4 linked regions of the Schizosaccharomyces pombe genome follow. The protein of the gene in region 3 purifies or fractionates together with the protein of the main gene of each other region. This does not show direct contact. Each region holds a gene or a part of one and is shown on either strand. Other genes may lie near its edges.

Region 1 (5,432 bases), 1.4 Mb from region 3:
TTACTGGATTGGATAGTTTAATATGGATGTTGATGATTTAATTTACGCTTGTAGAGCTGCGGATGAGGAGTTACTAGATGAGATTATAGAGAAATGTCCACAAGAATTAAGTCGTCGTGATGAAAATGGTAACTCTGGACTTCATATGGCTAGTGCTAATGGACACATCGCTGTTGTTCAAAAAATAATCCCGTACTTGAATAAAGAAGTAATAAATGCTCAGAATGAGAGTGGAAACACCGCAATGCATTGGGCAGCACTGAATGGACATGCTGAAATTTGCAAATTACTACTGGAAGCGGGAGGTGATCCTCATATTAAGAATATTTATGAGAAGTCACCTATATATGAAGCTGATATTCGAAATCAGCAAAAAGTAATGGACCTTTTTCTGGATTTTGAGATTGCTAAAGGTAGTGAAGAAAACACTGGTGATGAAGAAAAATTGGAAGATGGAATATGATCGTTTTATTTGATAATTTCTGATTTTTATTTTGTAAAAAAATTTACCTCTTTCTTTTGTAGGTTGTGGGAAGCTAATATTTTTATGCACCTGATGCATTTTTTTTTTCTTTTGGAGCATAATTTGGGGTTATTCTTATATTTTGTTAAGTTTTTTACTGTGTAATTTCTAGATGTTTTCTCAATATAATTCGTTTTCAGCGATGTACGTTGCCATGTATCTGTGTAGAAAGTTCAAGTGATGTTTATTAAAAGATGGATTATCTCAATAGACAAAATGTTTATCTTCCATCATTTACAGATAGAAATTGAATTGGAAAAGTGCTTTCATTTTTGTTTAAACCTTGTAATTAAACCTATGTAGCGTTATACGTTGGAATAGAAAGAGAAAAGCCTACCGGTTGCGTTCAAAAATGGAACAAAACTTTATTTCTAGATTTTATCAGGTTCGTTATTCATGGCAATCTAATCAAATATACAATTCATGGTTATAATCCCAAGGTTTTACGAGCCAATCGTCGAACTACACGACAATATTCTTCTCGATCTTCTCTCCACATCTTGCACGCATCGATGTTAGCACCACTTTCATCGTTTGGTTCCGCCAACATCGACATTACCGATAACAGTATTTTTTCAACAGATTGAACAGGAGACCAACGTTCTGAAGACGACTCATACATATTTGGATCGTCACCAGGTGCATGTAGGATGGAAATGCAAACCGTCCCATCTTTGTAAACTGAAATGAAGGTTAGTCTCGAAATTTGGATTAATAGTATCTGGCATACCATTTGGATGGAAAAATTCACACTCAAACTTTAAAGTAGGGGGGCCAAGAGGATAATCCTACATAAAAAAGTTAGAATCCAATAAAAATAAAACTAAGCACGTATCAACGTGCGCTTGAACACCCCGGATGTACTGCCATGCGATTCAAAGAAAGAAACCAAACCCCCAAAAAAAAACTTAGATAGATCTTTTAAATAAAATTTCTTCCTACTCATCAATAAATCGAAGGATTCATCAATTACTAATGAATAAAAGCACTTCTCTTAAATGATCATTCTAAACGAATGGATTATTGAGTTACTTTCTTTATTTACGCTGAACAAATGTTAATTTATGAAAAAGAGCGCGTATTTTTTAATAAGTAGTTGATACATAAAACATGCGAAACATCATACTTATCCACAACTTAAATCACATGTTCAGTCTCCATCAGGTTTATAGTAAAGGACTTACGGAAGGAAATTTCAAGGTAGCAGGGTATAACCCACCTTCAAATGGAGTTCCATCAGGGCCTTGAATTAGGCAATCCCAAGTAAAGAAATCATCCTCATTCGATGGACCTGCAGTAATACCATCAGGCCCATTCTCCGTTAACTCCTTATACTCCTTCATTAACCGTCGCAACGCCATAGCTTTACTCATTTTGGAAATCAATTAACTTACTAATCGGTAAGATATATTAAAGATCACTGACTAAAAGGTAGCCTAAAAATGGTAATGAACAGATTAATGAATGAATGGTTTGTTTACGACAAATTATGCAGCTGAGGCTAAACGAACTTTTGTGGTATCACTCGCTATTTTTATCTCGTTCATCATTTTAGCAACTTCTACCGCACAAAATAATAAGGCCGTTAATTAAAATAGCGAAAACATGTAAAATTCATAAAGTGATTTAGAGGAAAGAAATGCAGCTTGCTCTATCCCACAACATTCCAATAGTAATTGTTAAATACTTAGGAAAACGTATCCGAGTGCAATTGGAATTTAAAAAAGAGCTTGCGCAGAGATCCAAGCATCTGATGGATGTATCACAATGCGAACATTGGCATAATCGGCTTTGTGATGTTGGATTAGACTCGAAGCAAAAGGCAAACACAGCAATTGAAATTCGAGATGCACTGGATGATGTGTTGGTAACTGAAAAGACGAATTTTGAAACTTTCATTCCTCTTTTGGAGGACACGTTGTCTTTGCTTGAAAAGGAACGTCCTGTATTTTCATCGTTAGCAGCTACACATCGTTTACGCATTGCATTGCTTGAATTGCTCAAGAAATCTGGATCCTATAAAGGTTTTGAAGCATTCGTTAATCGGACTTTTGCCGTGCTTCTTCGTATAGTCGTTAATGATAATGAAGAGATGGCAGTGTTGGCATTGAAGCTTGTTGTCCTTCTTTTTAAGGACCACAGTAGCCTTGCTAAGGGACATGTTCAGGAATTTTTATCCATTGTCGTTGAAAACTACAAATCCATGACCACAGTTGTTTCAGAAGCTTTCCCACCTAGATCAGCTCCGAATACTCCATCCTCTCATCCCATGTCTGCTGCATCTTCTGCATCTCCTGCTGAAATTGGAATGGAACATGCAGGTCCAAAAATGATCCCAAAAGCTTCTTCGAGTTTCAAGGTCACTGCTGAATTTCCCATTATCGTCTTTCTCCTATTTCAAACATACAAAGATCTTATTCCGAAAATGCTTCCTTTACTTGCTCCGCTTGTACTTCAATTTATCTCACTTCGTCCTCCACCTCAAGCCGAAGCTCGTCGACTTGCAGAATCTCAAAAAGAGGTTTTTATTGGTGTAGTCCCTTCTTTGCGTCGAAATCATCTTTACAATGACCTTATTTCTGCGCAAATTAAATCATTCTCTTTTCTCGCCTATTTATTGAGAAGTTTTGGTGCTGCTCTTAAACAGTTTGAAAGCTCGATCCCAATATGTACCTTGCAATTGTTCATGGACTGTCCTTCCGAATTATATCAGACTCGAAGAGAACTTTTGGTAGCTACAAGGCACGTCTTATCGACGGATTATTTGAGAGGGTTTCTACCGTATGTAGATCAACTACTTGATACCAAAATTCTAGTTGGTTCTGGAATCACTTCTCAGCATTCATTACGACCCATGGCTTTTAGCATGCTGGCAGATATGCTTCATTATGTGCGTATGGAATTAAGTCCACAACAAATTTACAAAGTCATACTTCTTTATTTCAGTATTTTGATGGACGACTTTTATACTTCAGCTATTCAGGCAATGGCTACAAAGCTTATTTTAAACTTGGTTGAAAGAATTGTTGCACTAGAAGATTTTTCCACTAGCCGATCACTTCTATTTGCTATACTTTTATGTCTCTTAAGAAAATTGACTTCTCTGAATTTCGAGTTTATGAAGCTGAGAGATTCTTTACAGGAAAATGCTGACTTAAAGCAAATTAAAATAGAAGAAAATAAACATGATCTTCCTATGTTTGAGAACCCTACTGGAGCTGCCCAACCTTCAGGTTTGGATAAGCTAAAAGATTGCATATTTCTTTTTAAAAACACCTTATTAGGTATTAAGCCTGTTTTGTTTGGACTAAAGCAACGAAATATTCCTCTTGCCAACGGTTCCATTTTTACAGCTCAGGAATGGTCTGAAAAGTTACATCTTAGTTCAACTAATGAAGTTTTACTGTTTCGAAGATTACTTGTGGAAAGTTTAAAGGGATTCAGTTATTACCAGACAGATGAAAAAACCGGTGTATTCAAGTCCTCGAAAAATCTTGCATACTCTCAACTTGATTCTTCGTTGACCACAAACCCTTCTAAACTCTTAGAAGAGAAGGAGCTCTTAGAAATGTTAGCAACTTTATTTTTACACTTGGACCCATCTGTTTTCGTCGAAATTTTGGAATCCGAGTTTCCGAATATATTTGAGTGTCTAGTAGATAATCTTGCTTTATTGCATATTTTCCAATTTTGGATGTCTAATGAAGTTACTTCTGTCAACTGCACGGGCATCGTGCTGTCTTTTTGCTGTGACAATCTAGCTAAAATAGGGTCTGGCCAATCCACTCGGGTTTCTGTTTTATTGCGATTATTCAAGTTGGCCTTTATGACTGTGAATGTTTTTCCCGAAAAAAATGCAGAAGTCCTGCGTCCCCATATATCCTATATCATTTCAACTAGCCTCGAATTGACTACTGATGCTGTTGAACCTTTAAATTACGTTTATTTAATGAAAGCTTTGTTTAGAAATATCAGTGGAGGAAAATTTGATTCTCTTTACAAGGAAATACTACCACTTCTCCAAGTAATGCTAGAATGTTTCAACAGATTGATTTTTACTGTTACGTCTACATCCCAAAAAGAGCTGTATGCGGAACTTTGTTTGACTTTACCCATTAGACTCAGTGTGTTGTTGCCTCATATGAATTTTTTAATGAAGCCATTGATTGTTGCATTAAAAGGCCCCCCTGAAATAGCTAGTCAAGGGCTTCGAATATTTGAACTTTGCTTGGATAATCTTACTCAAGAATTTTTGGATCCTTTATTGGACTCAATTATGCCGGATTTGCTGATATGCCTGTGGAATCATTCACGCCTTAATCAATCCAATAATCAATTGCATCAAAGTGCTGTGAGAATATTAGGAAAAATGGGTGGTCGAAATAGACAAATATATCTTGGTACCTTTGGCTTTGATTTTTTGCAAGATGAAAATATTTTTCCTTCAATCCAGTTTTCTTTCCAAGGCTCCTCTCAGAATTTTAGCTTAGAGCACTCCAAATTTTTAATGTCTTCATGTGCTGTTTTAAACAATCAAAATTCCGATTTAGAAGAAAAGAAGCAAGCATTTCAAATGGTCAAGAATTCGTATTTATTACTCTTTGCGTCTGCGAAGCCCGATGAAGACTTTTGGGAATCTATTGATACAATGTGCCGAGCAGTTGTAGATCGCATGGATAAAAACTTACAGCAAGTCTCTAATGGTAGGTTGTGCCCTGACAAAGATGAATCTTATTATCTGCAAAGATCTATTGTCTCAAACATTTTTAAATCTTTAGTCGGCTCAATGTCTTGTGTGGAATTTGTAGCTGAAGCTCGAGAAACCATCAATCGTTCTTTGGAATGGCTCATTGTTCTTGATTTGGTTAATTACGCTGACTCTCTGCAAATAAAAGATCAAAATATTTTT
Region 2 (4,662 bases), 1.7 Mb from region 3:
CCCAATCAAAACTCTCCGAAAAAGTCTGAATTAGGAGAGACAGAGTCTTCTAATACCACCCCTGCTAATTCTCGTAATGACGTGCCTCAAACCGATGGTGCTATTCATGATCTAGATGATGCTGGGAGCCCTTCTAATTTTGAAAGTAATAGATTTGCTATTGCACAGAAAGCTGATGCTGAAATTTATGAAGTTTTGAAAAAGAATCGCATTTTGCAAATTGACGGCACTATAGAAGATAACGAAGATGAAAAAAAGCCACCTGTTGATACGCCTTCTGACGAAGCAATTAACTCAGATTTAGACGATCCTGATTCAGATGAGGCTCCCGAAACTGAAGAAGGTTCTGATATTGGACAGGCTATCGTTCTTTGTCTTTATGACAAAGTGAACCACCACAAAAATAAATGGAAATGTGTGTTCAGAGATGGCGTAGTTGGCGTTAATGGAAAAGATTACTTATTTTTCAAGGCGAATGGTGAGTTTGAATGGATTTAAAATTTTACTTTAGGTGTTTTGCTTCAAAAAGTGATGGACGTATTTTATCTATCAATCATTCTTCTTTTTGGCCTTTTTGTTTTCTTCATGAATCATGTTTATAAGTGCATTTAAGTAATCTTCCTATCATATTTTAGTGAGCACATCAATCTATTCTACGGTTAAAAGTATTATTATTATTTCATGCAAATTTTATTCACTAAAGCAAGCAATTAAATTAGATCACAATGATAGAATTACAGTATATACACTTTCAAATTTTAAACGCTTCATACAGATGTACTGTAATTAGATGTAGTGTGGTCCGATAAATCATTAAAAATAGAAGTTGGCGAACCAAGGTGTTGCGTAAGCTTATCCTGAAATAAAGGTTGAAGCTTTTCTAACCACATTGAGCGCTTGTCCATCAATGATTTGATGACAGGAAAAGAGCCGCTCGTAGCTGAAGAGCCAATTTTATCAGTAACAATACGTTTCTTTTTAACCTTCAAACTTCTGTTACGTTTGACATACGCTTGTTCGATTTGTTTATCTAGATCATCCATCACATTTTGGAATTCTTGAAATGCCATTTCCTCAGGAAGCATCTGTAACAGCGCATTCCTCATTTTTTCGTTTTCATCAGAAACTACCTTCAAACGAGCATTCAAACTCCTTAAGGTAGCTGAAATTTCATCATCCTGTCGCTTTGACCAATCTACATCGCCATCATAAAGTATACCTAGTTGTTTTAGGGTGTAACGAAGGCGGTCCTCACAAATTGAAAGACTCGACTCTTGTATATCCGGTTGTTCTGTATATTCATTATTTCCTGACTCGATTCCATCAATGCTTGTACCAATTTTGCTTTTCTCGGATCCAGAATCGGTTTCCGCAAATTCGCCAACAGCAATAGAAGGTTTTTGCTCCTCATCATTCTGCGTGTAGCAAGGAATTAATGAAGCCATTAGTCGTTCAGTGAGTGGACCACACCTAACTTCCTCAGAGACGGTATCTGCCTCATTAAAAGCTTCAAGGGATCCTTGAGCAGAGGTTTGCAGGTTTTGGTAAATTGAGTTAGCACACAGGTTGGTCATTTCATCTTCCGGAGTTAAATCGTAATAGCGTTCCCCCAAAGGAGGAATATTATAGGAAGACGAAACGTCAAATCCTTTTTTTAAAAAAGCAATATCATCATCATTGAAAGCACGAAAATATGGGTCAAGTGACGAATAAAAGGTTGATATTGAAATCTGGTTATTTGGCTTGTTGTGAGAAAAATCATCAGTCGCCGGAGTTCCTGCCACCAACGATCGTACATCACTGGTTGGAAAGGAATCTACACATAAAAGCTTCTTTTTTTGTTCATAAGAGAAGGAATCGTCAACAATGAAAGATAGTAATGAACCGGTTAGAAGATCGTTTGCGTTTTTATATACCAACCCAGTTGTCTGTTCATCTTTACCCTTAACCGGTAAATCTAATTCATTCTCAATTGTTTCCACATTTTCGGGACTGATTTCTTCATTATGGGCCTCTGAAACTTTGGGCTTCTTGGAAACTTTTTCTAGCATAGACTCTTGTGGACTTTCGGAAAGAGAACGCTTTTGCTTTATTTCTTGTTCAACGTTGTCTTCTTTAAATTCTTCTACTTTTTCTTCCACTTTATTAACCGACGATTCGTCTTTTGAGGTTTCTATTTCAGAATCGACATGAGACTCTAACTCTTCTTTGCGCTGGCGAAAATATTCTACACAAGACGGTTCACACTCAATCATTTTTTGCAGCTCAAACAGAAGCCGCCATAATGTCGACACAGACGGTACAACACCAGGAGTTGACGTTTCACTCAGACGGGAAAAGGTCTCGTATTGATTTTCAATTTTAAAACATTGAGGAATCACCGCGGGTTTCGAATCAGCTTCATTTTGTTGTTCGGAGGACATCCCAAAAAAATTTAAATCGTGAACAATACAACATTTACATATGTCTCTCTCCCCCGAAAAAATTCATTACTGAGGTGGTGATTTTTTATACCGGATTTCGATGATGGCGTACTTTTAGCGAAGTCTAGTATACCACTTGTTACATTGTTATAACGGTGCTCAGAAATATTAATCAAGAACAGCGTTGAATTGCTACGAATATGATATCTCAAACCAAATTAAACAGCAATATATTTTATTCATAGTGAATCCATCGCAAAAGCAATATGCTTTGCGAAGTATTTTGAACACTATAAGTGATCTTTGGTTTGTTTAAAATTAAATTTATCTTAAATTTAATAGTTTCTAAACCAATTGGTCTAGCGCAAGAACTAGATAAACAGAGTTGCAGCTTCACAAGATATCATGAAATAGATCTACGAGTCAATGGAATAGGATTTGTTTATACTTAATTAAGAGGTAAATATTTACAAGAAAATGTTTTATCATTTTTTTTTTTTAAATTTTGGATGTTTTTATTGCTATTCTTTCCATTTATGGGACATTATTTGACTGTAAGTCTCAGCAAATTTAGTGGATTGAGATTAGAAAAAGAAAAAAAAAAAAAAAAAAAAAAAAAATTTTTCTCGGTTGTAGATTTTCTCATATTTTCCTATTATATATTTAATTTACTACAATTGTCTTTTGTAATTTTCATTATATCACTCAACAGAATCACATGAAGAAATATCTCACTGAACCATCGTAATTTCAACAATAACAATTGTCACATATATTAAATAACTATAAACTGTAATAATAATAAAATGTGAAGAAAGCTCAACCGAACTGGTGGGTTTAACTGAAGCAATTTCATCTGCTTCGCATTTCCAGCATTAACCAACCACCCACCGTCATAACCGCTAAGATTTAAATTCCCGCCATCACCCCGGTAGGTCAGCCACCATTTCCTGTATTTGCCATCGTATTGAAGCTTTAGTTGTATTAGAAACTTTGAATATTTTTTAAGTAGTACGATGGCTCAAAACTCAACCCAACTGGAAAAGGTATGTGATATTTTAAAGAGTTTTGGTGTTTTGAACCAACATAATGTTTTATGATTCAAAAAATTGATTTAAATCAAGTATTTACTAAAAATAATCTTTTTTAATTGGTTGAAAAGTTTGATGATTAAATGCAAAATTTTCTTTAGTTATCCGCTTGGTTTTTGGTTTTTATCTAACAAATTGCCGTCTTAGATTTCTGGTTCTTTCACAAGGTTGGCGGAAGCTTTTCAGTTAGCTTTAACCGCATGCCGTGAGATCGAAGAATCACTTCCTTCGATATTAGGAGAGAAGTCCGAGGTTTCGAAACCTTTTAAGCCAGCCGTCACTGATCCATCAAATGCGAAGAAAGAGATTAATATGGCAATTGAGTCTCCTTCTAAAAAAGCAACTTCACCTAAGAAAGCTACTCCTGCAGCAGTAGCTCCTGTTGAGGCAACCTCCGCAGTCGATACGTCGGAAGCTGTAGCCTCCATGACCCCAAACAAGCGCAAGGCTAGGGATCCTGCACAACCAAAGCGCCCTCCATCAGCCTATAATCTCTTTCAGAAGAACCAACGATCGGAAATCAAGGAGTCTTTGGGCGAGAAGAGTAACGATGTTAAAGAGGTGAATAAAGCGATGCATGAAAAGTGGGGCTCGCTATCTGAAGATGATCGGAAAACTTACGAAGAAGAAGCTTCTAAACTTCGAGAAGCCTACGAAGAAGAAATGGCTGCTTATAATGCTTCTAAAGAAAATGCGTCAGTTGCTGATAGTCGAGTTACGGCTGAGGAAACTTCTACTAAACCTTCAGAAGACTTATCCTCTCCCACTAAAAAAGATTTGATAGACTTTTCAGAAACCAGACCATTGGCTCAAGCTTCTAGAGCCACTCCTGACATTAAAGAACAGCATGCTAAGAAACCGAAGCGAAAGCACACCCGTTCAACAGTACCTACAAGCAATGTTGAACCAGTTTCTCAACCTCAACCCTCTCCTGACAAAATCGTTTCTAGCCCCAATCCGCCATCAGCGAAAAGGGAAAAAAAGAAACGTCGCAAAAGCTCGATGTCTTCTTCCATTACCACTCCCCCTACCGCCAAAGTTGCTAATTGAGTTTGCTTGATAATTTCATTAATTGTGTATTTCCTTGTTCCGAACATTAAAGTTATAGGAAATGATTAATTAGCAACAAGTGTTTGCTTGTATTGCTG
Region 3 (6,503 bases):
AGCCATATATTATTGCTAACTTACCTTAATCCCTTCCTGGCCTTCATGAAATAACGGGTCAATCAGACTTTTAGCAAGCTCCTCGAGATCATCCAGGGAAACGCCAGTTGTTCTTACAATCGGTATCAATCGTTGTGTATATCGAGTCATTTTTTTGGTTTTCCCAACTTCACAAGTAAACTCTACAAGACGCACTGGATCAATTGGTGGCCTTGTTTTTACAAAGTAAACTTCAAAAAATTAATAAACGGTCATAATAATTCAAATACGAATAAACATCTTAAACTTCTAAAATTATACTGTTTATGCACCTACCACAAGGCATATCTAGCATAATTGGGGTTAACAGTTCTTTTTTGTTCTTTTTTTGGAGACTATTAATCTCCTTAGCAACTGCATCTTCTAATTCCTCGCCTTCTTCTTCGTTTTCTTGATCACTAGATTGAGTTTCTGGCCAAAGAGTAGCTATATGCTATTAATCATCAGTTTACGCATCCTTAACCTGACAAATGTCTTGCATACCTGAGTAAAAACATCAAGAATCTCAGACGATGATTGTCTTTCTTTACCGCGAGGAACAGTAACTAAAACACCACTTTCATTTTTTTCAATCCCTGTTCTTTTGTACTTAAACTATACTTAATAGTTAGCTTTGTTTGATAAAGATTCCTTTCCTTTTTAAAAGGTCGCTCACTGCTGTTATGAGCGTTCTCGCGCTTTCCCATTTCAGTATGTGATACTTCAAGGTGAAAGGTAAAACTCGTCTCAAATGAAATAATTAGGTAACTTAATATTTCGGACAATGCACTCATAATTAGGTTAAATGTGTTGCTAGAGTAATTAATAAATAGTTATATGTTAGTGATATTATATCTTTATTTTGCAAATTCAAATTGCCATTCGGACCCCGATTTTTCAGACATTAATAATTACTAAAGAACACATCAGACATAAAGCCAAACCAAAACTAGAACCATTATAATTATTACTAAAAGAAACTTTAAACTTTTTTAAAGTAAAAATTATGTTTTAAAAGTTATGTCTCCATTGTGGTTGATACACATCTATATACTAGTTGTTTTTGACGTTATAAATAAATACATATGGCCTATTCTTCAGGAAGAGTAGTTACCTCAGTACCTTGCTCATTCTCCTTTAGGCAGCGCTTTTTTCTCAAGGATTGATTTAAAAAAACTGACGAAGCAATTCGCTTTCTCCCAGTGGTAATCTTTCCGTTCGGAGGTAGACGCGGTCGCGGAGGTTTGCTCCTTGGCCTTATGTCTTCATCTTCCAACAACTCATCCAAACCGAATTCCTCTAGATTCTTCTTTAAAAATCCTTGAATCAACCCGATTTCGTTAGAAATACTTTCGGCGGTGATGGGAGGATATTTTGGAGGTGGAGCGTACTCTTGGTCACCCTTTATCGTTCTGAATGAATTAGTATCAAATCTTTCAAAGATATTATAAACATACGCTTCGGGTTGCCAACTCATATTCGACCTCAATCTGCTTTGTAATAAATGCAATGGAACCGATAGTGAATCTAAGCCAAGTTCTCTATCTAAACCAAGTTCCCGTAGACCAAAGAAATCATCACCAGTCTCATACGAAAAATTTCCCGTTACAAACGACTCTCCATTTTGGTTAAATATCGCTTCTTCATCATTGCGCTCAGAAAGTGCAGGACGCTAATCCGGTTAGTAACACTACTTAATAAGGAAATTCGCATACCAATAACTCAACAAAATGCCTTTGAAGACGCTGATGTATTTCTAGCAACTTCACGCTTTGGCGCTCTACATCATGATACACATATGAAATTAAATCATTCACATCGTCAACACCTAATTCCCCTAGGGTTTGTCCAACAATTTCCTAAATTGGTCAATATAACTGCATAACGTAATTAAATACCTGTTGAGATTTGTCTTTCCCATAAATGAGATACTGGTCCATGACAGCACCCATTTTTGCCATGTAATCAGCCGCTATTTCGGTCAAAGCATCCAGTGCTCCCATTTGAAACGACTCAAATCCAGCATGGAATAATATAATGGTACAAAGCTTTTTTAATACATCGTGCGCCAATGGTTTAAAGGAGGACATGTTATCGTAATTTTGTGGGATATCCAAAAGGATGGGTTCATTGTTAGCAAACGGGACATGACTTTTATGATGTTCATAATAAAATGGCTGAGGAAGCTGTAACTGGCGAACTGTTTGGATTTTATTACATAATTTCCGAATTTCTTGCATTTTAGCAATATTTTTGTACATCAACGAAGGTACACCAGGTGTGTTGCGATTAATTTCAAAAAGAGAGTAGTCCCTAAAGTATAAGTCTTCTTCACTTTCAGTCTCCAAGACGCTACCAGCGGTCATCGGAACGCCTGAACCCACATCATACTCAAGTAATGGGGTAGTATCTAATTTCATTATTGGTTCAAAATCACCTTTATCCATAGGTAAACAATCTATACTTCCATAAGCAACTTCTCGATCTATAAAAGCTGACATTGCTGTTGGCTTCCGAATCATAGGTAGTTCAGTCTCAATAAATTGTAAACTTTTTAAAATCCGCCGATTATTTAAGATATGGCTTTCACGAATATCCTTTGTTTTGATTTTCCAATATTCAGTAGCAACGTCAGACAAAGGTTCTTTTTCTAAAGTGTTAGAACTCTCTATAACGGCCGCTTCATTGACAGGAGGTGTTGAACCGCTAACAGCAGGAGGTTTAGAGGTCTCAACTTCTTTCTTTGTAACAGGAGTATTGTTTTCTTCGGGGCTATTTGCATCAGTATGAACTTCAACAGCTTGTTGCGTTTGTCCGCCCCTAGAAGATGTCTTTTTAGAAGTGACATGTTTTGATGTCTCCGCTGTTGATTCTTCATCGCTTTCAAGCTCTGCTTCAATTAAACTATCATCGTAATCCTTACGAGATTGTATTACTATATCAGGAATGAGGTTTATTAATTCCAAAGACTTGTCTTTCATAAACTGGGCATGTACGCGCAAAGGGTGGTCGGGATGTGAATTATACAAAAAGCAGTTCGACCAAATTAGCATTAAATCATGAACGAATTCTTTTTTGCTATTATAATGTAAATTTTTTAAGTTCCTTAAAATGGTACCAAGGTCCATCGGCTCCTTAATTACTACAAAATGTTAATGAGAATTTTAGAGTTATTAGAATCACTCTTACCAGTATAATAATCAGGTGCATCTCTTTTGCTGACCTTGGTTAGAAAAGCCAAAGAATGCTCCGTATATGATCTAAGTTCCAGGACCACTTTTTCTGCTGCTTCATAAAGCTCTTCTTGACCAATTCTTTGATCATTCGCCTAGAAAACATTAATACAAGCAAAAAAATAAAACTTAAATACCCATTTTGATTTATTTTTTTTAACATCGGATAACAATTGCTTCACATCAGCATCGGTGGCATTTATTTTACTTCTATTTCCCTCCAAATATTGCAGTAGATACTAAGTATTAGTTTTGGTTGACAACAAGATTAGAAAGTGATTAAAAGTATACCTTAAATGACGAGGTAAGTGATCCAAACTTTGAATTAAGCTAAATTTTGTTAATTAAAAGGAATTAAAATAACTGATAAGTTTCATAACGTACCGATAAATTATCAGATAAATCAAGAGAGGATGAATTGTTTTGAAAGCTGGATGTATTAGGGGTTGATGTGTCTTCCTCATCTTCAAATTTTTTCACTTCATTGATATTTTCAGAGTCATTTTCTAAAGTATAGTACACATAGTTGAAACTAATATTGCTGAGTGCCTTATTTGATTCGATGGCTGCAAAACCAGAAGTATCTAAAATGTTAGTATATAAGAATACTTAAGGGATGACTTACCCATATCATCTATATCGACAGATTTCAAATCTATAATGCTTTTTCGTAATGATTTATCCTTTTGAAGATCCAGAGTAATGGTAGCTTTAGACGAGTCTTCGGCATCAGATTCATCAAAATCATCATCATCAAATAGTTGTCTTCCAGTTGCTTCAGACTTTTTGGCATCTCCCTTCTTTCTTTCTTCTTCCTCGGCCAACGAAGCTTCTAAGGATATGTTTTGATGATCAACATGCTCAATAGATCCAGAACTTGTGGAACTTAAATCAAATAAAGCTGGATTTATTTTAGCGTCAAATATCATACAACGACAGCGAAACAAAGTAGTAATATCTAAATCGTCTTCCTCATCATCGTTACTGCCATTCGAGTCTTTTTCATCGCACAACTTATCCCATTCTATTACATTAATGAATCGGTTCCATAGAAGAGTGTCATTTAGTATAGAAATATACTTCCTTTTTTGTTCTGGGGACAAATAAAGGCTCCAATAATCATTTTTAAGCAGCGCGATTGCAATGTCATGAAGAACAGGCTCATCCAACGACTTTGAATCTTCGAAATTAGTCTCCATTCAAATTCTCCTTCCCTATGTATAATAGTTCATAAATGACGCGTGATAAATTAAATTAACAACCACAATGGATAAAAAATAACACTTGAGATATGTGAAGGTTTCATACTCGTTTGTTTCGCTAGCGTCGGATATGGATACACAGCGATTTCCTGAAATATGTTTAACGTACTGTAACAATTGAAAATAACGATAGAAATGAAGCAATATATGTTCTGTTTACCATTTCATACCAGTATACTACTATAAGTTTTCGAACTTAAAAAAAGATATTTGGAAGGTATCAAAGTATCACATATAAATCCTTATAAATTATGAAACAATTTAGTAACTTTTAGTAATCACTGTTCATATAATATCGCAAAAGTGAGTGAAGTGACAAGAAAATAATCCGCGATGCAGAACAATATTGTAAGTCGTAGCTAGCGCTCATAAAGATAAAATAGCTAATTTAGAACCAATAAGTACATTACGCCCTGTTTATAGGTAGAAATTCAAAACGAATTGTCCAACCAAAACAAAAAGTGATTTAATTGATTTTATCTAGATAGAATACAATCCTAGAAAATTTATTAGCGGGGCATTCCTCGACCTCTACCACGCATAATCCTATTAGCAGCGCCAGGAGGTAACGCACCCTGTGGAGCTTGAGGTTGCTGTGAAGGTTCATTTTTAATAGTCTCGTCAACGGACAGAATTAGAGTAGCTGCCTCAGTTGCTGATAATATGGCATTTGATTTGACGGTGCTAGGCTCCCAAACAAACTTCTCAAAATTGTTTGCGACCCCTTCGCTATCCATATCTACACCAGCCCACATTTCACCCTTGGCATGTTGCATACGGAGTTTATTCAAAATATTTGTTGAATCGAATCCTGCATTATCACACAGCTGACGAGGGATTACTTCCAACGAGCGAGCAAAGGCAGCTATAAAATTCTGTTGTTTACCAGATATAGTAAGAGAATAATCACGGAGATATTTAGATAACTCCATCTCACAAGCACCACCGCCAGCGACTACTAAGTTATTTTTTAACGCATGTTTAACAATCATAATAGCATCATGTAACGAGCGTTCCACCTCTGCAATAAACTGATCAGCACCGCCACGAAGAATAAGAGTGCAAGTCTTGGCCTTGGGACAACCTTCAAATAGATTGAAACGATCACCACCGATTTGACGCTCCTCAAAAGTATCACAAGTACCTAGGTGCTTCTCCTCAATATTTGAGCAGGTAGACTGGATGGAGCCGCCAACTGCTTGTACCACACGATTTAAATCATCTGCAGCAACCCTTCCAGCACAAAAAATGTCACGATCCGCGAAATATTGGGTGGCCAAATCACCGATGGGCAATTTTGACAAAACAACTTTCGCACCAGTAGCGACAATCGCTTCAAGTTTGGAAAAAATGATACGCCATTCAGCATCGACGATATTCTGGTATTCTTGAACTTTATCAACGCGAACTTCAGCATTGTCTTTCTCGGCCTTTAATTCCAACTCAACGTCCAAACAAAGAATTTTGGGATTCTTGAAGAATTTTGGCTGTTGTTCAAAACCAGCATACGAAAATGTCTTTTTAAATGCAACGCCCTTAACAAGAAGTGAATCCTCCATTGCTCCTCCAGGGACTTTTTTAATACCAATCATGTTTTCATTCAAGTCTTCTTGATCTAATGTCAAAACAGCATCAACTACCATCTTTGTAAAAAAAGTAGAATTCGAACGAATAAGCTTTGAGTTCATTGCAGTAGATGCGCATTTTGTTAACAGATCTCGTAATTTTCTGTAAAGTATTAGTAAACTGAACAAATATAAAATAACTAAAAATCCTTCTAATAAGTAATAAAAAAAGTATAGCGAAAAGCACCAATAATAAACTTTACAAAACTTATTCTAAGCAAGCTAGTTAAGCAATGCCCAGATAAAAATTCTATAAATTAAAAGTCTTACCCTTCGTCCGATAAATCCAAGTGAATAGCAATCTCTTTAATCTTATTCACAGCCAACTGGGCAGCTTTACGATAACCTCTTATAATAAGATGTGA
Region 4 (4,388 bases), on a different chromosome or scaffold from region 3:
GGGTAACTTGATTGTTGGTAAACTTAAGGAGCTTTATGGCAAGGAATTTAACATCGGTTATGATATTGCTAAGGATCGTTTTGTTGATTTAAATGAAATTGGTGTTTTGGATCCCCTAAAGGTCGTACGTACCGGTTTAGTTGATGCTAGTGGAGTCGCCTCATTAATGGGTACCACCGAATGTGCCATCGTCGATGCTCCTGAAGAGTCCAAGGCCCCTGCTGGTCCTCCCGGAATGGGTGGCATGGGTGGAATGCCCGGTATGATGTAAGGTATCAAAAAAATGCCGACGTGGTTTTTTAAATTTTTACAATTTATTAAAAGCTTATGATTATGATGATTTAAATCCATTCAGAGAAATTGGCTTTAATTTTGCATTATGTTGTTGACCTTCGTAAAATTCTTTAGTTTCAAAACTAGTTAATGGGTCATACTTCTGTTAATGGATACTTATTGTTTTGAAACTTTTCATTCGGCTATTCTCATATGGTTGCTAATTGTACAATCAAACTCCTGATTTTGTTTAATGAACATAATGTTTTACCTTGTGTTTATTACACATTATAATTTCACTCTTTTTACGAATGGTATGACTTTCGACTTAAATACCAAGTTTTCACTTTTGTGTTTTTGTAAGTTCTGAATTGTGTTTACGTAAAGCATCAAGTTTCTTTATATTTCCTATACAGGTTTGTGGTGAGCTTTGAAATGGTTGAAGTATGTGAGAGATAAATGATTTTGAAAATGATGAAAATAACGCGGATGAAATATATGTCCGAGAGCGCAAAAAATGTGTGGATATTTCCGTTGCCTTCCTTCTGATTCAAAATTATTATATAACTTATATATTTTTAGCTGTCGTGCGAGTATCCCTACTATATTCTTTTTAGGGGATCTGTATAGGTCATATAAAGAAAATTAAAATGCATGATATTATGTTATCACTAGTATTGTGGTAAATTGTATTTTCAAAGTTATGATGAGAGGCAATTGTAAGTAATAAAGAAACATTGGTGCGGTGTAAATTTTAAATGAGCCTAGTAGTTGAAGAAAGCTCTCGACGAGCTCATGCCAATTTCACAGCCTTACATGAATTACTCCAGTTTTTGTAACATTTTAAGAAAAAGCGCGCCGTCACTGATGTTGTTGCCGTCTCTTTCACTTTTTTCTATTCTATGTCGTACCATATATAAAAGATACAGTGTACAGTAATGTACAATATGAGCTGAATTTAAAAATGTTGTATACTTTTTTGCTCCATACACTGATTTCGTAGCAAATAAACAAATAAACAGGTACCTTATAACTGTAAACGATTTATTACCCACGCCCTGCTTTCGCAAGTTAAATAGGAAGTTCTGGAGGAACAAAATCATATAAATAAAACCATAATCATCTGCTGCAAAGATTCGTGAGCGCTTCAAAAATATTTACATATATCTAAATCATCAGCACTTCCCCGGCATTAGTAACAACTTTAAAAGGAAAATAAATTTATTCAGACTTCACAGAGAAGTCAAGTTTATCCTCCTCCATTCGTGAATCCGAGGAGTTCTCTTCCTTTGGTTGATTCTGTTGGGTTTCATTACTGACAATCCAGTTGGGTTGAGTTAAACAGTACTTCTCCGGTGGAAGACGAAACCCATAAGACGGCTGAATTTGGGGTAAAGGTTTTCGATTTCTCTCCATAGCAAGCTCTAGTAAAAATTCTTTTGGTGGAGGTCCAGTGAAGGAGTGATTGATTTGAGAAGCAACAGCTAAACGTACATCTTCTACAGAAATTGGAGCATTTTGCCCACGTGAATGTTCCGCATAAACCTGTGAATCCTGGATTAACTGCTGTGTATATCTATGTGCAAATGTTAACAACTGCAAAGGCACTGTTTGAGAGTATGATGGAACACCCAGAGAGCTAAGTATTAGATGAATCAGACGAACGTCCTTAGGTCCTTTTATAGATTCATCACTTATTCCTGGAGAACTCATGATTTATTAAATACTATAAGTATATGCGAAGACAAATACGACTCCCGTTATTTTTCTGTTTTACCACCCAAAAAGATTTATGGTCGTTGCGAGCGTTGCAAATTGTATCCACTCAGAAGTTAGCGTGAGTCCACTGCACACCACTAAATAGCTTGTTTCAGAAAGTTTACAACAATGCTATTTTACATATACATTACTAAATATTTCGAGTCATAAAAATTTATCTAAGCAAACTTTAATTTATGCAGAAGGAATGATTTCATTAAAGCAATTCCTATCAAAGTTGCTTTTAGTATCACCAATGTTAATAATTTAGAAGTTACATAAAATTTTAGTATAAGCAGCGTAAAGTAAAAACTCTCATTTAGTAAATAATAAAACGAACAGGATCATTCATACAAAATCAATGATGATACAAATTTACTAAAAATTGGCAGTGTTTTTTTTTTACAAAAGGACATGGAAAAAGGTTGAGATTTTCAAATGAGAAGAGCATCTAAGAACTAATTTTCTGAAAAAGAGGCATCGGGAAAGAAATATTAAAGCAGAATGAAGTAGAAACAGAACCAAGTAATTTAAAGGAAACCAAAAAAATTCAAACCATAATTGAAAATGAACATAACAAGACCGTTAAAACAACTGAGTCACAAAAACGTATTTAAATCTCTAAATATGTATGGTGCTTTTTTTTTATACTCATGTCGTAATTGCAATGGGAAGTTAATGGGTAATGAACTTCTTAGTACGATTAAAGAGTAAATATATATCAAAAAGACGTTCGTTCATTTTAAGTACCCGAACAATATGTTAAATGTAATGTTATGATGTTTAAGAAGAATAAACGAGCAAAGGACCCACTGATAAATGGTTTTCTATTGAATGCGGCGATTGACATTTAAATATCCTTTTCCTAAGCATGACATCTCCACCTGGCCTGATTCGAGCTCTTTAAATCTATATTCGCAATTGAAAAGTGCCTTCACATCCCGAAGAAAAACAACTAATTGCGAAGTAATACCAAGTTGACCCACAACTATTGTGTTAACGTCTTCAGAGGATAGTAGCATCCCGGTTAAAGTTGAAGGTTGTGTATATGGATCTACACAACCACCAGATTCAATAACTTCCAATAATTTCTTTGCGCAAAAGGAACCAACATCTTCTGGTGTTTCTCCAGCTTCACCACAATGCTCGGCAGCATAAGAGCAACCCTTATTAGTTTCTGCAACTAAAGTGATAGAATACCCAGGACTGTTACCACATTCATCTCCACGGCGAACGTCTGTATAAATGAAAACATCGGGTATAAAAGGATTTAAAACTCCGCGAGCAGATTCTACTAAGCGATTTGCAAAAGCGGGAGATACTCTAGTTGAAGAAGCAATTCCTCTGATTCGGAAGACTCTTCCAAATTCTGAGAGACGAATGGGAGGTAAAGACTCTTTAATTACAGGACATAAAAAATTCACTTCACCTCCTCCGCCAGGAGCAGAACCACGCTTTAATATGCGCAACTCAAGTTCATCACCAACTTGAAAACGCTTTTGAAGAGAGGGTAATACACTAGTGCGCAAAACATCGACACCAATATCTTCATTACTGGAAGTAACTCCAGTAAGAGTAAGTGAAGTAGGGGTTTTTGCAAAAAGACAAAGTATTAGAATTGGTTCCAAAAAATAGCCTATCCCTTTGGTAGTTGGACAATCATGGACTACACGACCTCCTATAATATTTCCTGGGCGATATATGAACGAAGTACCTGTGTAAGAAATTTCTATGACACTGCCATTGGTCAACTTCTCCAACAGCCTTAAAAACGAAACCTGGTAATCTTTGACACCAGGATCGGCTTCATCTGGGTAAATTCCTTCAACTCGAATCGGAGTTCCCGAGAGAGTTGCAAGGACTAACCGATGCGTCAAATACTCACATCCTTTAAAGCGTTTGAGCTGACCGGTTGACATCACGAGTTTAACAATTCAAAATGAATGCAAAGCCCCGAATTATTTTAAAAACGCGTTTTTCGAGACTTTGATATTTCAATTCCTTTACAGGAAATTTTTAGTTTTGGTAAAAGAATTTCTACAGCGCAAGAGGTAGAATTGACCTCTCAGCTAGGAGTTGCCGTGGTAACCGTAAAGCTACTTGTTTACTAAATAAATGTAAACAATAAAAAAAGTACTGTATTTTTTAAAAAATTAACTGTTTTTACTACTAAAAGAAAGAAATATACTTTCTTATATAATATTTAACACATTAATAAAATCAAGTAATTTTATTTCTAGAACATAAAAAGCAATAAAACGATGATTGATTTTATGCTTTGAGAGTTTTGGTAATATATAAATACTTTTTTAAAATGCCAGAGAACACTAGAGGAAAGAATGATACAAAAACCTCTG

The links.
Region 1: the proteins of spt7 (region 3) and tra1 purify together in Schizosaccharomyces pombe (affinity purification with mass spectrometry; 2 studies listed by BioGRID). This does not show direct contact.
Region 2: the proteins of spt7 (region 3) and ngg1 purify together in Schizosaccharomyces pombe (affinity purification with mass spectrometry, with the first as the bait; one study listed by BioGRID). This does not show direct contact.
Region 4: the proteins of spt7 (region 3) and taf9 purify together in Schizosaccharomyces pombe (affinity purification with mass spectrometry, with the first as the bait; one study listed by BioGRID). This does not show direct contact.

The regions. Positions count from the first base shown.
Region 1 is NC_003423.3:1,902,263-1,907,694, reverse strand, and holds the start of tra1 (SAGA complex, phosphatidylinositol pseudokinase subunit Tra1), read left to right. Parts: upstream 1-2,276; coding exon 2,277-5,432. Other genes in the region: ribosome biogenesis protein Yar1, read left to right, coding at 23-463; ubiquitin-conjugating enzyme Ubc7, read right to left, coding at 951-1,204, 1,254-1,311, 1,708-1,896. UniProt on the Schizosaccharomyces pombe protein: Essential scaffold subunit of the transcription coactivator SAGA complex. SAGA acts as a general cofactor required for essentially all RNA polymerase II transcription.
Region 2 is NC_003423.3:1,585,920-1,590,581, forward strand, and holds ngg1 (SAGA complex subunit Ngg1/Ada3), read right to left. Parts: upstream 2,480-4,662; 5' UTR 2,424-2,479; coding exon 768-2,423; 3' UTR 673-767; downstream 1-672. Other genes in the region: transcription factor TFIIA complex large subunit Toa1, read left to right, coding at 1-498; upstream binding transcription factor, RNA polymerase I specific, Hmo1, read left to right, coding at 3,440-3,469, 3,662-4,564. UniProt on the Schizosaccharomyces pombe protein: Component of the transcription coactivator SAGA complex. SAGA acts as a general cofactor required for essentially all RNA polymerase II transcription. At the promoters, SAGA is required for transcription pre-initiation complex (PIC) recruitment.
Region 3 is NC_003423.3:3,261,324-3,267,826, reverse strand, and holds spt7 (SAGA complex bromodomain subunit Spt7), read right to left. Parts: upstream 4,558-6,503; 5' UTR 4,451-4,557; coding exon 3,877-4,450; intron 3,836-3,876; coding exon 3,636-3,835; intron 3,582-3,635; coding exon 3,543-3,581; intron 3,491-3,542; coding exon 3,389-3,490; intron 3,347-3,388; coding exon 3,208-3,346; intron 3,161-3,207; coding exon 1,917-3,160; exon of another isoform or gene 1,878-1,916; coding exon 1,734-1,877; exon of another isoform or gene 1,691-1,733; coding exon 1,476-1,690; exon of another isoform or gene 1,431-1,475; coding exon 1,109-1,430; 3' UTR 952-1,108; downstream 1-951. Other genes in the region: tan1 (tRNA acetyltransferase), read right to left, coding at 25-230, 316-472, 523-633, 741-812; chaperonin-containing T-complex eta subunit Cct7, read right to left, coding at 5,023-6,241, 6,409-6,503. UniProt on the Schizosaccharomyces pombe protein: Essential scaffold subunit of the transcription coactivator SAGA complex. SAGA acts as a general cofactor required for essentially all RNA polymerase II transcription.
Region 4 is NC_003424.3:335,990-340,377, reverse strand, and holds taf9 (SAGA complex/transcription factor TFIID complex subunit Taf9), read right to left. Parts: upstream 2,077-4,388; 5' UTR 1,987-2,076; coding exon 1,495-1,986; 3' UTR 615-1,494; downstream 1-614. Other genes in the region: protein Mcp60, read left to right, coding at 1-271; rcl1 (rRNA processing protein), read right to left, coding at 2,859-3,950. UniProt on the Schizosaccharomyces pombe protein: Functions as a component of both the DNA-binding general transcription initiation factor complex TFIID and the transcription coactivator SAGA complex.